3 linked regions of the Struthio camelus genome follow. The protein of the gene in region 2 purifies or fractionates together with the protein of the main gene of each other region. This does not show direct contact. Links are inferred from orthologs where the notes say so. Each region holds a gene or a part of one and is shown on either strand. Other genes may lie near its edges. The genes, in order: RNF170, ERLIN2 and TMUB1.

Region 1 (3,744 bases), on a different chromosome or scaffold from region 2:
TATACAATCTCATATCTAAAGCAGAACACAAAACAAAACACATTACTGCATTTGTTTTCTAAGGCTTTTAAACCTTCTTCCTCAATTTGACAGCTGCTCTTAAAAGGTAAGAGGCTGAATTCAAAACTTGAAAATGAAAATAGCTGGTTATGCTATGACATCAGGGAGAAGATACTTTTCTGAATAAGCGGGAGAGTTTTCACAGCTCTTGTAACACACTTTCAATTGAAACAGGCTGACATAAAGTAATATCAAGATTTTGTCCATGCTATTTGCTCATTTAATGCAAGAACTGTGAGAAAATAGGAACAAAATGACAGTATTTAGATGCGCAACACTTTCTTTCTCGGTTGTTTATGCAACTCTCGTCCGCGTTACTAGCGTACCATGCTTGCTACTCCATGATGCCACATGCCAGCTCAGTGACTAATGAGCCGGGATCTGTATAACTTAATATTACATCTGATATTCTCATTAGAAGCTTCAGCTGGGGCAAAATTCAGCTGATTACTGAAAACGAGTTTGCTGAACCCTTCAGGCAACCCCTTTACAGTCTGATGTAGAGCTCCTCTAGCCAAGGAAGTAGGGAGGCAGAGCCACACTAGCCAAGAAATAATCTCCTATTAAGGTTAAACGTGAATTGAGTTATCCACAACTAATCTGATTTAATAGATTAACTTTTATGATAGCAACATTTTGCTGAGAGGGAGCTAACGTCATTTTCTACAGCAGAGAGAAGAGGGGGAAAAAAAAAAAAAAAGGAAATCTCCTTTTAAAGGCTGCTCTTGCCACGTGTCAGACTGCACTACTTACTAGCAAGTGCCTTTCCTGGGGTGCAGCAACCTCACCAGTCCACACTGCTGAAGTCAGAGAGCGGCAGAGGCCGGGGCCCTACCCGCTACCCACCAGAGACCCACCAGGCCGGCTCCTACGTGCGCGTCGGGGCTGCAGGACCGGGGGGGGGGGGGGAGAGAAACGAGGCAAGAGCAGTCAGCCTGCGGCAGGGCCTCTCCAGAGGACCACCCCCCTCCCCCGGGGGAACCTGCTTTTTGTCGGCACGCAAGTGCTACTGGGCTGGGGGAAGAAGGGGAAAAGGGGGAGGGGAAAAAAAAATAAAACAAAAAAAAAGCTAACCGCGGCGCCAGCCTTGCGCACCCGCGGTGTTGTGTAACCGCCAGCACCACAGTTCGGCACCGGCCGCGCTCGCCCAGCCTGCGCAATGCGCGAGCGCCCACGCGCCCGTTAACGGCTCCCCCGCGCCCGTTAACGGCTCCCCCGCGCCGCCCGCCAACCGGCCAGCCAGGCAACACGGGCCCCCCCGCCCCGCCCCTCCGCACCCTCGCCGGCTAGGGCGGCACGGCGAGAGGAGGGAAGGGGAGAAGAGGAGAAGGGAGAAGGCTCCCCGCCGGGCCGGGTCGGGGCGCCGCCGCCGCCGCCTCCCCTCAGCGGCGTGGGGGAGGGGCGCGGCCCGCGCGGCGGTACCTCAGCTCCCGGCGCGCGCGACGCTCGCCGCCGCCGCCGCTGCCCCGCCCCGCGGCCCCCCCCCCACCCCTCCCTCCACTCCGCGGCCGGGCTCGGCCGACAGCGGCGCGGCGCGTCAGGGGCGCATGCGCGCTGGGGGCGCGCGGGCGGTTCCTGGGAGGTCGCGGTGACGTGTCGACGCCACAGCCCAGGCCCGGGACGCGGGGGGGGGGGGGAGAGGGGGGAAAGGGGGGCGCCGCCACAGGACGCGACGCGAGCGGGCCGCGGCCGTTAGCCCCGCGCGGCCGCCGCCGCGCCGCCATGTTCAACGTGGAGAGCCTGGAGCGGGCCGAGCTCGGCGAGAGCCTCCTCACCTGGGTGAGTGCCGCGGCCGCCTCGCCGCGCCCGGAGCGGCGCCGCCCGCCGGGGACACGGCTCCGTGCACCCGCCCCGGCCGCCGCCGCGGAGATTGGAGCGGGTTGGGGTTGGGGGGGGGGTGGGGAGAAGGGCGCCGCCATCGCCGTCGCCAAGGCCGCCGCCCCGCCCGCCGGTGGGCCCGAGCCCTGCCGCGGCCGCCCTACCCCACCTCGCCTCCGGCCGCGGCGCTGCCCCCCACCCCGAACAAAGGAGCCGGCGCCCCGCGGCGGGCAGCGGCCCCCCTCCCCCGGCCCCGGCTGCCTCGGCTCCGCGCCTCTACCGGCGGCGCCGCGGGGTGCCCGGGCCCCGCCCGCCCCCCGCAGCCTTTTTTACCCGGAAACTTTCTTTCTTCCCGTCTGTTTCGTCTTCTTCTTTTTATTTTTTTTTCTTTTTCCCCTTGAGCCCCGAGGGGCGGCGTTCACCTGTGAAGTCAAGGTTACACCCCCCCCCTTTCCCTCCCCCCTCCTCTTGCCGTTACCTTTACTTCATCTTCACCTTGGGGCTTTGGTCCATGAGCGCGTTCAGGTTGCGCTGTTCTTCGCAGAGCAGTCCAAACTTACTGGACGGGGGACCGGGGTTTGCAAGCGCTGCTCCACGTTTGGAGCGGTGACTGTGCCATATCCTTGGAGCTGGCATTTTCTGTAGCAGCTGATTCATCGGTGAGCTGTTTGGAGCCACTGGATTTGTGGTTTTTTTTCTTTTTTTTTTTCCCTTTTGTTGATGTTGTCTTTCCATTAACAGTATTGGCAAGTAAATACCCATTGTGTGCAACTCTGGAATATGACTGACAGTTGAAAAGAGCTATATACTTACTCTTCTAGATATTTAGTCTGTGAAAGGTCGGAGCTGGATAAAACTGTGATGGTGAGTAAGTTGCTGGGGAATGGTAGTTTAGCTTTTTCTGTGAAAGTCAAAAGTGGACAAGCCAGGAAGATTCACTGAGTGTTGAAGGTGAGCAGGTGGCCCAGAATGTACAGAAGACTGAGGCTTAGGGGAACAGTATATAATGCAATGCCATGGCTACTCTCCTGCTTTATGCACGTAAATGGAATAAGTAACTTGAGAGTAAGTAACTCTGTTTCACTTCCCTTCACATCCCTGCCAGTCCTTGCACCTTCCAGAAGCATTGGCCACTTGTCCTGCCTTTGGGCTCCCAGGATTCCTTTTTCAGATATTGGGAAAGAAATGAGAATCCTCCTACTGTTGGAATTCATGAGGAAGTAGATGTGTGTGACTCTTGGTGAAGAAAGGCCAAGCAAGAGGCTCATTATGAGGGGGGGGGGGGAAATAAGTTGTATTGGGGGTGGATGGAAGATCTGTTGCCGTGTGTCGCTACTTTCCCTGTGCTCGCGTGCTTTAGCTGTTTTACGTGTGATCCTCTGGTGCTCTTTGGCAATAAAGTAGTCACATCGCTGGGAGAAGCATAAGATGAACGCTAACCTAGCCAGTGGTCCCAGTCTCAAATGCTATCTTGACTCCTTAACCTTCGAAGTAACTAACAGACCAGCCCTTTGCTAGGAGTCCAGTCATCTGCATGTGGACTGATATACTTGAAATATGTGAGTTGCTGCAGAGTGATAGGTACTGAATTTTCTGTTGTCTGTAATTTACTGGTCTGTAAACAGTGATTTGAACTTGTTGATCCTACCCTTTATTCAATCACAGGTTGGATAAAATTGTTAATAGCCTGAGAATATTTAGTTGAAATGCAGCATTTGTACAGAAGTCTATATCAGGTCTGAAAAGATTCCAGGACTAAAAATCTTCTAATATTCACTTAAAATATGGTGTTCAAATTCGATTTGAAGTGATAATATTTCAATTTAATTTTAAAAGATTGCGTGAGATTAAACTATTTGTGAGCTA
Region 2 (3,744 bases):
TTTGTTTGTTTGTTACAACATACTGAAGCCCTCAGCACTGGAAGGTAATGAGAAGTAAATACTATAGCTGGTTATCAATCCTGTTTCAAAACAGAGCAGATACAACTAATATGTAAAAGCCCGTCGGTTACAGGGTAGCAACTTCTGTATCAACAGACCACGCAGACAGCTATCAGAAACATCATTCAAGGAACCATCAACCCAGCACCGAGCCTGTAGAGCTAGTGTCACAGGTCAGAGACGCAGCTCACCGAACAGCTCAATGTAGACCTCCTGCAGCGTGTGGACACTGCAGAACTGGTTCAGCTCATGGTGAATCTTGTTGAAGATAAGAGCTTTGTCATAGTCAGCTGTGTAGTTCTTCACTATGTCATATACTACAAAAGAAGAAGTGAAACCAGTGTTAACAGCTGGTGCAGAGGATGTCTCAGGTGGGGCTAAATGCTTGCAGTAGAAAGCTTATGGCTGAGTCACACCACCAACAGCAAGAGATGCAGTGCCAATCAGCGAAACAAGAAAGCACCCACCAGAGAAGAGAAGTCTGCACTGCAGACGAGCGCTTTGTCCACGTATTCTGACAGGGGAGTTTTACTTATTGCTAACAGTACACCACACTCTAGCCAGTGTTGTCACATGCTTTGTGAGAAGAATAACACCTAAGTCATATCAGCCCTCTCTGCACTATGTGCAAATGTCTGCCAGGAAGATGGCACACATGGACCGTGCCTGACTTGCAGAATAGAGAGACCGCAGGGTCTGCGCACAGCAGGGGGAGAGGATCCTGAAGTTGCAGTATGACAGAGGCTCCAAAGCAGGACGCTGATGAGCCCAGCAATAAGACCATACTCATAAACAACAGGATGTTAACAAGGAGAGTCTGAGGAAAGGACTGCATCGGTCATTCCTTTTGTGCCTCAGATGCCAGCCTTCTGCTCACGGACTCCCCGTCTCCCCTACTGCTTGCACATGTCATTATTCAAAACAGAAGCTCTTCACTGAAGCACAACGCCCAGTCCAGCTGTAATAACACGGCTAATAAAAGTAATAATGACATGCAGGTATTAGTGAAGCAATTAGTAACACAGAACAAGCGTGTGCAAGAACTAATAAACACACAAATGTCTGGAAAAGCTAGTTAAAAGGTTTAAGTCCAGGAAGTAGGGGCTTTACAAGGTATACAGAGGAATACCAGCAGTACTCCCTAGCTCCAAATCAGTCACAGCACAAGCATGCGCAAACTCCTAACCTTGTCTTGCACTAGCAGAGCACAAAGAACCCTGGGAAAGGAAAGTCACACAGATGTTGGGTGCAAGGAGTTGCAGGGTCAAAGGGAGGAACTCACCTGCACTTTGGATCAGGAAATTCACCACCTCAATTCTGTCAAAATAAATCATCACTCCCCCACTGCAAAAACAAGATTAAAAAAAAAGAAGAAGAAAAATAAAGTTTACTAGTGGCCAAACGTTCTGCTTGTGCAGCCAGATGGCCGCTGAGCAGAAGACACTCCCCTCTAGTGGGCTGAGTGCAACATTTACAGCCCTCAGTGCAGCACGCTGCGACATTACAGCAAAGCCTCACATCCCGCTCAGCGTCTCAGACTCAGGGTTTTAGCTACAAGTGTCCTTTAGGAACTGGATCACAGTATGTGGGCCCAGGTTTGAAAAGACCAATTACTAGTGGCTACCATAGGGAAATGCAAACTCCTGAGTCCTTTTCCTAGTTGCAGCTCTCCTGAGACATTGAGCTGTTCACTTCCTTCCTGCGCTTCAGTTTTCAGACTGGCAAAACAGAGAATGCAAGTTTCAGAGTATTAGAGTTGTGCACGTAGACCGCTACAGGAAAGATTAGGCTCGGAAAGTGTTCTGAAACCAGCTGAAACGCAATCTGTTCCCAGCAGAAACTTAACTAGATCAAGAACGAGATCACGGAGACTCCTGTCAGCGTTGTCTACGTTAACTCGGGGGAAAGCGGCACCGAGACATTCGGGACGCCCGCACATCGGCTTGGGCACGGGCTTAGAGAAGGGGTTTCAGCGCTTTCAGCTAGGACCAGGGAGGGAAGACAAGTCTGTCAGGACAGAGTTATGCGTTTTAAAGCGCGATGGAGCGCGTAACCGAGGGGAAGGCCCCGCAGGGACCAAGAGCCGAGGGGGAGAGGAGAGCGGAGCTCACCTGGTGCCGCAGGGAACGTTTTTCACCTCGTCTGTCTGCAGCGTGGTCTGAGGAGAGAAAGGTTTCAGCAGCAAAGCTGAGGAGCCCCCAGAGCCCCGCCGGGGAGGCCGCGAGGGCCGCCGCTCCCGCCGGCCCGCGGGGGGGAACCGGGGCCGGGCCGGGCCCCCCCCGCTCTCCCTCCCCGCCCAGGCCCCGGCCGCGCAGCAGCACCTGCACCGACTTGTAGGAGGTGATGAAGGGCAGCATGAGGTGGAAGCCGGGGCCGCTGGTGGAGGTCAGCAGCGCCCCGCCGCTGCGGAGGGAAACGGAGAGCGTCAGGGGCGGCGCGGCCCGCCGAGCGGGGGGGAAGAACGGGGACGGGACGGGACGGGACGGGACGGGGGGCCCCGCGGGGCCGCTCACCGGTAGTAGACGCCGATGTGGCCCTCCTCGATCTTGTGGATGGCCGAGAGGAAGGCGGCCGCCAGGAAGCTGAGCGCCAGCGCCGCGATGGCGCCCAGCTGGGCCATGGCCCGGCCCCGGCCCCGCGCGTCGCCCCGGCAACGCGCCCCGCTCGCCGCCCCGCGCGCCGCGCCGCTTCCGCCCGCCGCCGCCGTGACGCCATCGCCGCGCGCCCGCCCGCTTCCGCCCGCCTGCCCCGCCTCCCTCCCCCTCCCCCGCCGCCGCCGCCAGGGGGCGCCAGAGCTGCGGGGCTGCCGCCGCGGAGACCCGGGTTCGAGACCGGCCGCCGCCGCCCGGCGCCCCGGGGCTTCTCGGGGACGCGGCCGGCGCTGCTCCCCAGCTGCCCGCGGTGCCTGGGCGGCTCCTCCCGCCCCGGTGGTGCTGGCTGGGCAGGCCCGGATGCCTTGGTCCCTCGTGCGGGCCTAGGTTCCCGTTCCCGGCCACCTTGCCTGGTTTCCAGCACCCTGAGGCCCAGTTCTGCCCTGCACTGACCCCTCGCTCGCACACAGCCCCCGGCCCCGCAGGGCACCCTGGCCCTGGGTGCAAGGATAGGCTGCCATGCCCTGTCCCCAGGCCCCCCAAGGTGTGTCCCAAAGCCCAGTTCTGCCCTGCACTGACCCCTCGCTCGCACGCAGGCCAGTGGGTGCTGTGCCCCACGGGGTGCCCTGGCCCTAGGCACGGGGACAGGCCACCATGCCCCATGCCCAGTGTCCCAGGATGCACCCCAAAGCCCAATTCTCCCTCGCGCTGACCCCCTGCTCGCACACCGGCACCGTGCCCCATGGGGTGCCCCGGCCCCAGGCACAGGGACAGGCCACCTCAGCCCATCGTGGCCTCTCCTCCTGGCTCAACAGGCGGACGCTGCCGGCGGTTTAAAAAAAGCTGTTCCCTATTTGGATGCGTGTTTGGCCCAGACAGAGGAGCAATAATCGGAAAAGTGACAGACCATGCAAAAATATATTAAATCTTCTGCATCTATAATTGTTGAAGGGGACTTAAAAAACATAAGAGAGACATATAAAATGTCAATATAGAATAATTTGATCTTTACACTTGATAGATCTCCTAGGGTTATATATAACAAGCCTGTCAGAAGGATTCAGCACCATTTAGAAATAAAGAATGAAATACC
Region 3 (3,004 bases), on a different chromosome or scaffold from region 2:
TGCACACGCGGCTCCCAAGAGCGCTTACACCATACACAAGTTTGTGGATGAGCAAGCATGTGAAGAGGAGCACCCAGCCTGCGCACAAAACACGTGCAAACAGCAGATGGGGGCAGGTGAGCTTGGACGGGCTCCATTTGCACAGCAGGATTCCTCTTAGCAGGGGCCAACAGGACCACTTCAAGACACCTCAACCCCTCCTGTTAGAGAGGAACTTGCTCCTTGCAATATAGTAGTTCCCCTCCCCAGAGGTAGCACAACACTTTGCACTTGCAACAGTTAAGGCTCCGGCAGTAGCACAGAACTAGCACTGCCAGGCTCCAGGTAGGGACTCCCTTACAGCAGCACCCCTTCTCCCTCTGCCATAAAGAGAAAGGAGCCAAAGGACTACAGAACACGGGCCACAGACTGCCAACCTCCTAGGCTAGACGTCAGGGCTCAAGCCCTGATCGGACTCCCTCAGATCCGGCGAGTCTGTTACACAGTCCCCCTAGAAAAACCAGGAGACGTAGTCAATAGCCCAGACTCCCCCTCGTGTTCAGGTGCAGTGGGCAAACTGCACCCAGTACAAAGTTTATTCCCAGGTAGGAGGGCTTGTAGGATCCTTTCAGGGGTGCAGGGATAATGCTATCTGCGGTACATGGTGAAGGCCATGAAACTGAACAGCAAGGTGAGGCCAGCCAAGAAGGTGGTTGCAGTGGCAGTGAAGACATGTCGATACTGCAGCTGGAAGTACCAGAGCACAGCCAGCATGAGCACAAAGAGCGGCAGCATGAGGCTGCCCACGTTGAGGGCTGTGTGCACGGGGTCAGCAGAAGTGTGGGGGCCGGTGGGCGCAGGGGCCGGGCTGTGCTGGGAGATGTGGCAGTGCAGGACGCTGTTGTGGGTGAGGTGCAGGGCAGCCAGGCTCTGAGCGTCATCTCGCAGCAGTTGGCCCTGGTAGATCAGCCGCACCTGCTGCTCCTGGCCTGGGAAATAGGCCCTGGGTTGGAGAAGACAAGGAGAGAAACGTCATGCTTCCACCAATACGCAGTCCCTCCCATCTACCTTCTGCCTTAGTATTTCCCCCCCAACCCCAGACCAGGCTGCAAACATGCTCGCCATCTGCCCTGAGTGCGGGAAGCCTGGCTGCACCCCCCTCCTCCAGGCTTTGCCCTCAGCCGTGTCAGACATGCTGCTAGGATCAAAGGTGCCCGCTAGAACATGCTGTCCGAGTATCCCGAGACGGGCAGGATCGAGCCCAAACGGCAGCAGCTCCGAGCTCACAGCGACTTCAAGGAAGGGCAGGAAAGAGAAACCAGGGCTGGGGGCGGGCAAACCGGACAGCCGCCAGCAGGGAACGAGCGGGGCGGCTGCCGCCTGCCCGGCTCCTCACCTCTTCAGGGCCCCCACGGTGTCGCCGGGGCGGACCCGGGCCAGGCGCTCCGTGTCGTTGAGGAACTTCAGCCGCAGCACCATGGTGGGGTCGGCGGGGTCGCCCGCCTCGCCGGGGGCGTCCTGCGCGGGCCCGGGGCCGGCCCGGGGCCGCAGCCCCGCCGCCAGCCCGCCGGGCCCATCGGGGGCCGCCGCCGCCGCCGCTGCCGCCGCCTTGGGCTGGCCGCCGGGCGGGCCGGCGCTGGGGCCCTGCTCGGGCAGCGGCGGGGCGGCGCGGGGCGGCGCGGGGCCGCGCGGCGGCTCGGCGGGCTCGGGGGCGCGGGTGGAGGCCCAGGCCAGCCCCAGCACCACGGCGGCCAGCAGCAGCGCGAAGAGCACGGTCACCTCGTCGCCCACGCCCTCGATCAGCGCCATGGCGGCGGCGGCGGCTACCGACCTGCGGGCACACAGCAGCGCCGTGAGGCGGCGGCGGAAGGCGCCGAGGGGCGCCGCCGCACTCCCGCTGCTCCCGGGCGCGCCGCCCTGCGGCAGCCCGCGCCGCCGCCGCCCCCCGGCCCCGGCCCCGGCCCCGGCCCCGGCCCCGGCCCCTCACCTGCCGCCATCCCGGCGCGCTCCACTTCCGCCCCGCGCGCGGACTCCCGGGCCGGGGGAACCGGCCCCCGCCGCAAGGCACGACGGGATGGCTCCGCCCCGCCCCGCGGCATGCCGGGAGCGGTAGTCCTGGCCGCGCCCCGCGCACGGGCTCTCGGGGCGGGTAGTTCCCGCCCGCTCGCAAGGCGGGCCGGGAGGCGCGGCGACCTCCGCGGCGCATGCGCGAGGGGGAGGGTTTGCGCGGGGCGCGCGGGGCATGCCGGGAGGTGTAGTTCTGTGAGCGGGGCGGCGGGGGGCCGCGCCGAGGCCCCGTGCCCCGGGGGGCCGAGCCGGCTCTGGGGTCCCGGCATCGGCCGGGCCGGGCCGGGCCGAGGGGTCCAGCACGGGGGGTGCCCGGGCCTCGGCCCAGACCGGCAGGCAGGGACACGGGGCTGCAGAGTGCGGCGCTCTGTCCTTCCCCGGGGCGCTCTGTCCTTCCCCCCGGGGTGCTCTGTCCTTCCCCCCCCGGGCGCTCTGTCCTTCCCCCCCCGGGCGCTCTGTCCTTCCCCCCGGGGTGCTCTGTCCTTCCCCGGGGCGCTCTGTCCTTCCCCCCCCGGGCGCTCTGTCCTTCCCCCCCCGGGCGCTCTGTCCTTCCCCCCCCGGGCGCTCTGTCCTTCCCCCGGGCGCTCTGTCCTTCCCCCCCGGGTGCTCTGTCCTTCCCCCCCGGGTGCTCTGTCCTTCCCCCGGGCGCTCTGTCCTTCCCCCCCGGGTGCTCTGTCCTTCCCCCCCCGGGCGCTCTGTCCTTCCCCCCCCGGGCGCTCTGTCCTTCCCCCGGGCGCTCTGTCCTTCCCCCCCGGGTGCTCTGTCCTTCCCCCCCGGGTGCTCTGTCCTTCCCCCCCCGGGCGCTCTGTCCTTCCCCCGGGCGCTCTGTCCTTCCCCCCCGGGCGCTCTGTCCTTCCCCCGGGGCGCTCTGTCCTTCCCCCCCGGGGTGCTCTGTCCTTCCCCCCCGGGGTGCTCTGTCCTTCCCCCCCCCGGGCGCTCTGTCCTTCCCCCCCGGGGC

The links.
Region 1: the proteins of ERLIN2 (region 2) and RNF170 purify together in Homo sapiens (affinity purification with mass spectrometry; 4 studies listed by BioGRID and IntAct, counting the BioPlex papers as one, with this or other methods). This does not show direct contact. The link is inferred for Struthio camelus from reciprocal best matches to the Homo sapiens genes ERLIN2 and RNF170.
Region 3: the proteins of ERLIN2 (region 2) and TMUB1 purify together in Homo sapiens (affinity purification with mass spectrometry; 4 studies listed by BioGRID and IntAct, with this or other methods). This does not show direct contact. The link is inferred for Struthio camelus from reciprocal best matches to the Homo sapiens genes ERLIN2 and TMUB1.

Annotation. Positions count from the first base shown.
Region 1 is NC_090982.1:12,001,456-12,005,199, forward strand, and holds the start of RNF170 (E3 ubiquitin-protein ligase RNF170), read right to left. Parts: upstream 2,342-3,744; 5' UTR 2,212-2,341; intron 1,840-2,211; coding exon of another isoform or gene 1,783-1,839; exon of another isoform or gene 1,692-1,782; intron 1,600-1,691; exon of another isoform or gene 1,550-1,599; intron 1,547-1,549; exon of another isoform or gene 1,483-1,546; intron 946-1,482; 5' UTR 814-945; intron 1-813. Other genes in the region: HOOK3 (protein Hook homolog 3), read left to right, coding at 1,783-1,839. UniProt on the Homo sapiens protein: E3 ubiquitin-protein ligase that plays an essential role in stimulus-induced inositol 1,4,5-trisphosphate receptor type 1 (ITPR1) ubiquitination and degradation via the endoplasmic reticulum-associated degradation (ERAD) pathway.
Region 2 is NC_090968.1:6,912,738-6,916,481, reverse strand, and holds the start of ERLIN2 (erlin-2), read right to left. Parts: upstream 2,738-3,744; 5' UTR 2,681-2,737; coding exon 2,574-2,680; intron 2,464-2,573; coding exon 2,382-2,463; intron 2,219-2,381; coding exon 2,172-2,218; intron 1,405-2,171; coding exon 1,343-1,404; intron 378-1,342; coding exon 252-377; intron 1-251. UniProt on the Homo sapiens protein: Component of the ERLIN1/ERLIN2 complex which mediates the endoplasmic reticulum-associated degradation (ERAD) of inositol 1,4,5-trisphosphate receptors (IP3Rs) such as ITPR1.
Region 3 is NC_090943.1:453,603-456,606, reverse strand, and holds TMUB1 (transmembrane and ubiquitin-like domain-containing protein 1), read right to left. Parts: upstream 2,035-3,004; 5' UTR 1,967-2,034; intron 1,811-1,966; 5' UTR 1,789-1,810; coding exon 1,376-1,788; intron 983-1,375; coding exon 628-982; 3' UTR 533-627; downstream 1-532. UniProt on the Homo sapiens protein: Involved in sterol-regulated ubiquitination and degradation of HMG-CoA reductase HMGCR. Involved in positive regulation of AMPA-selective glutamate receptor GRIA2 recycling to the cell surface.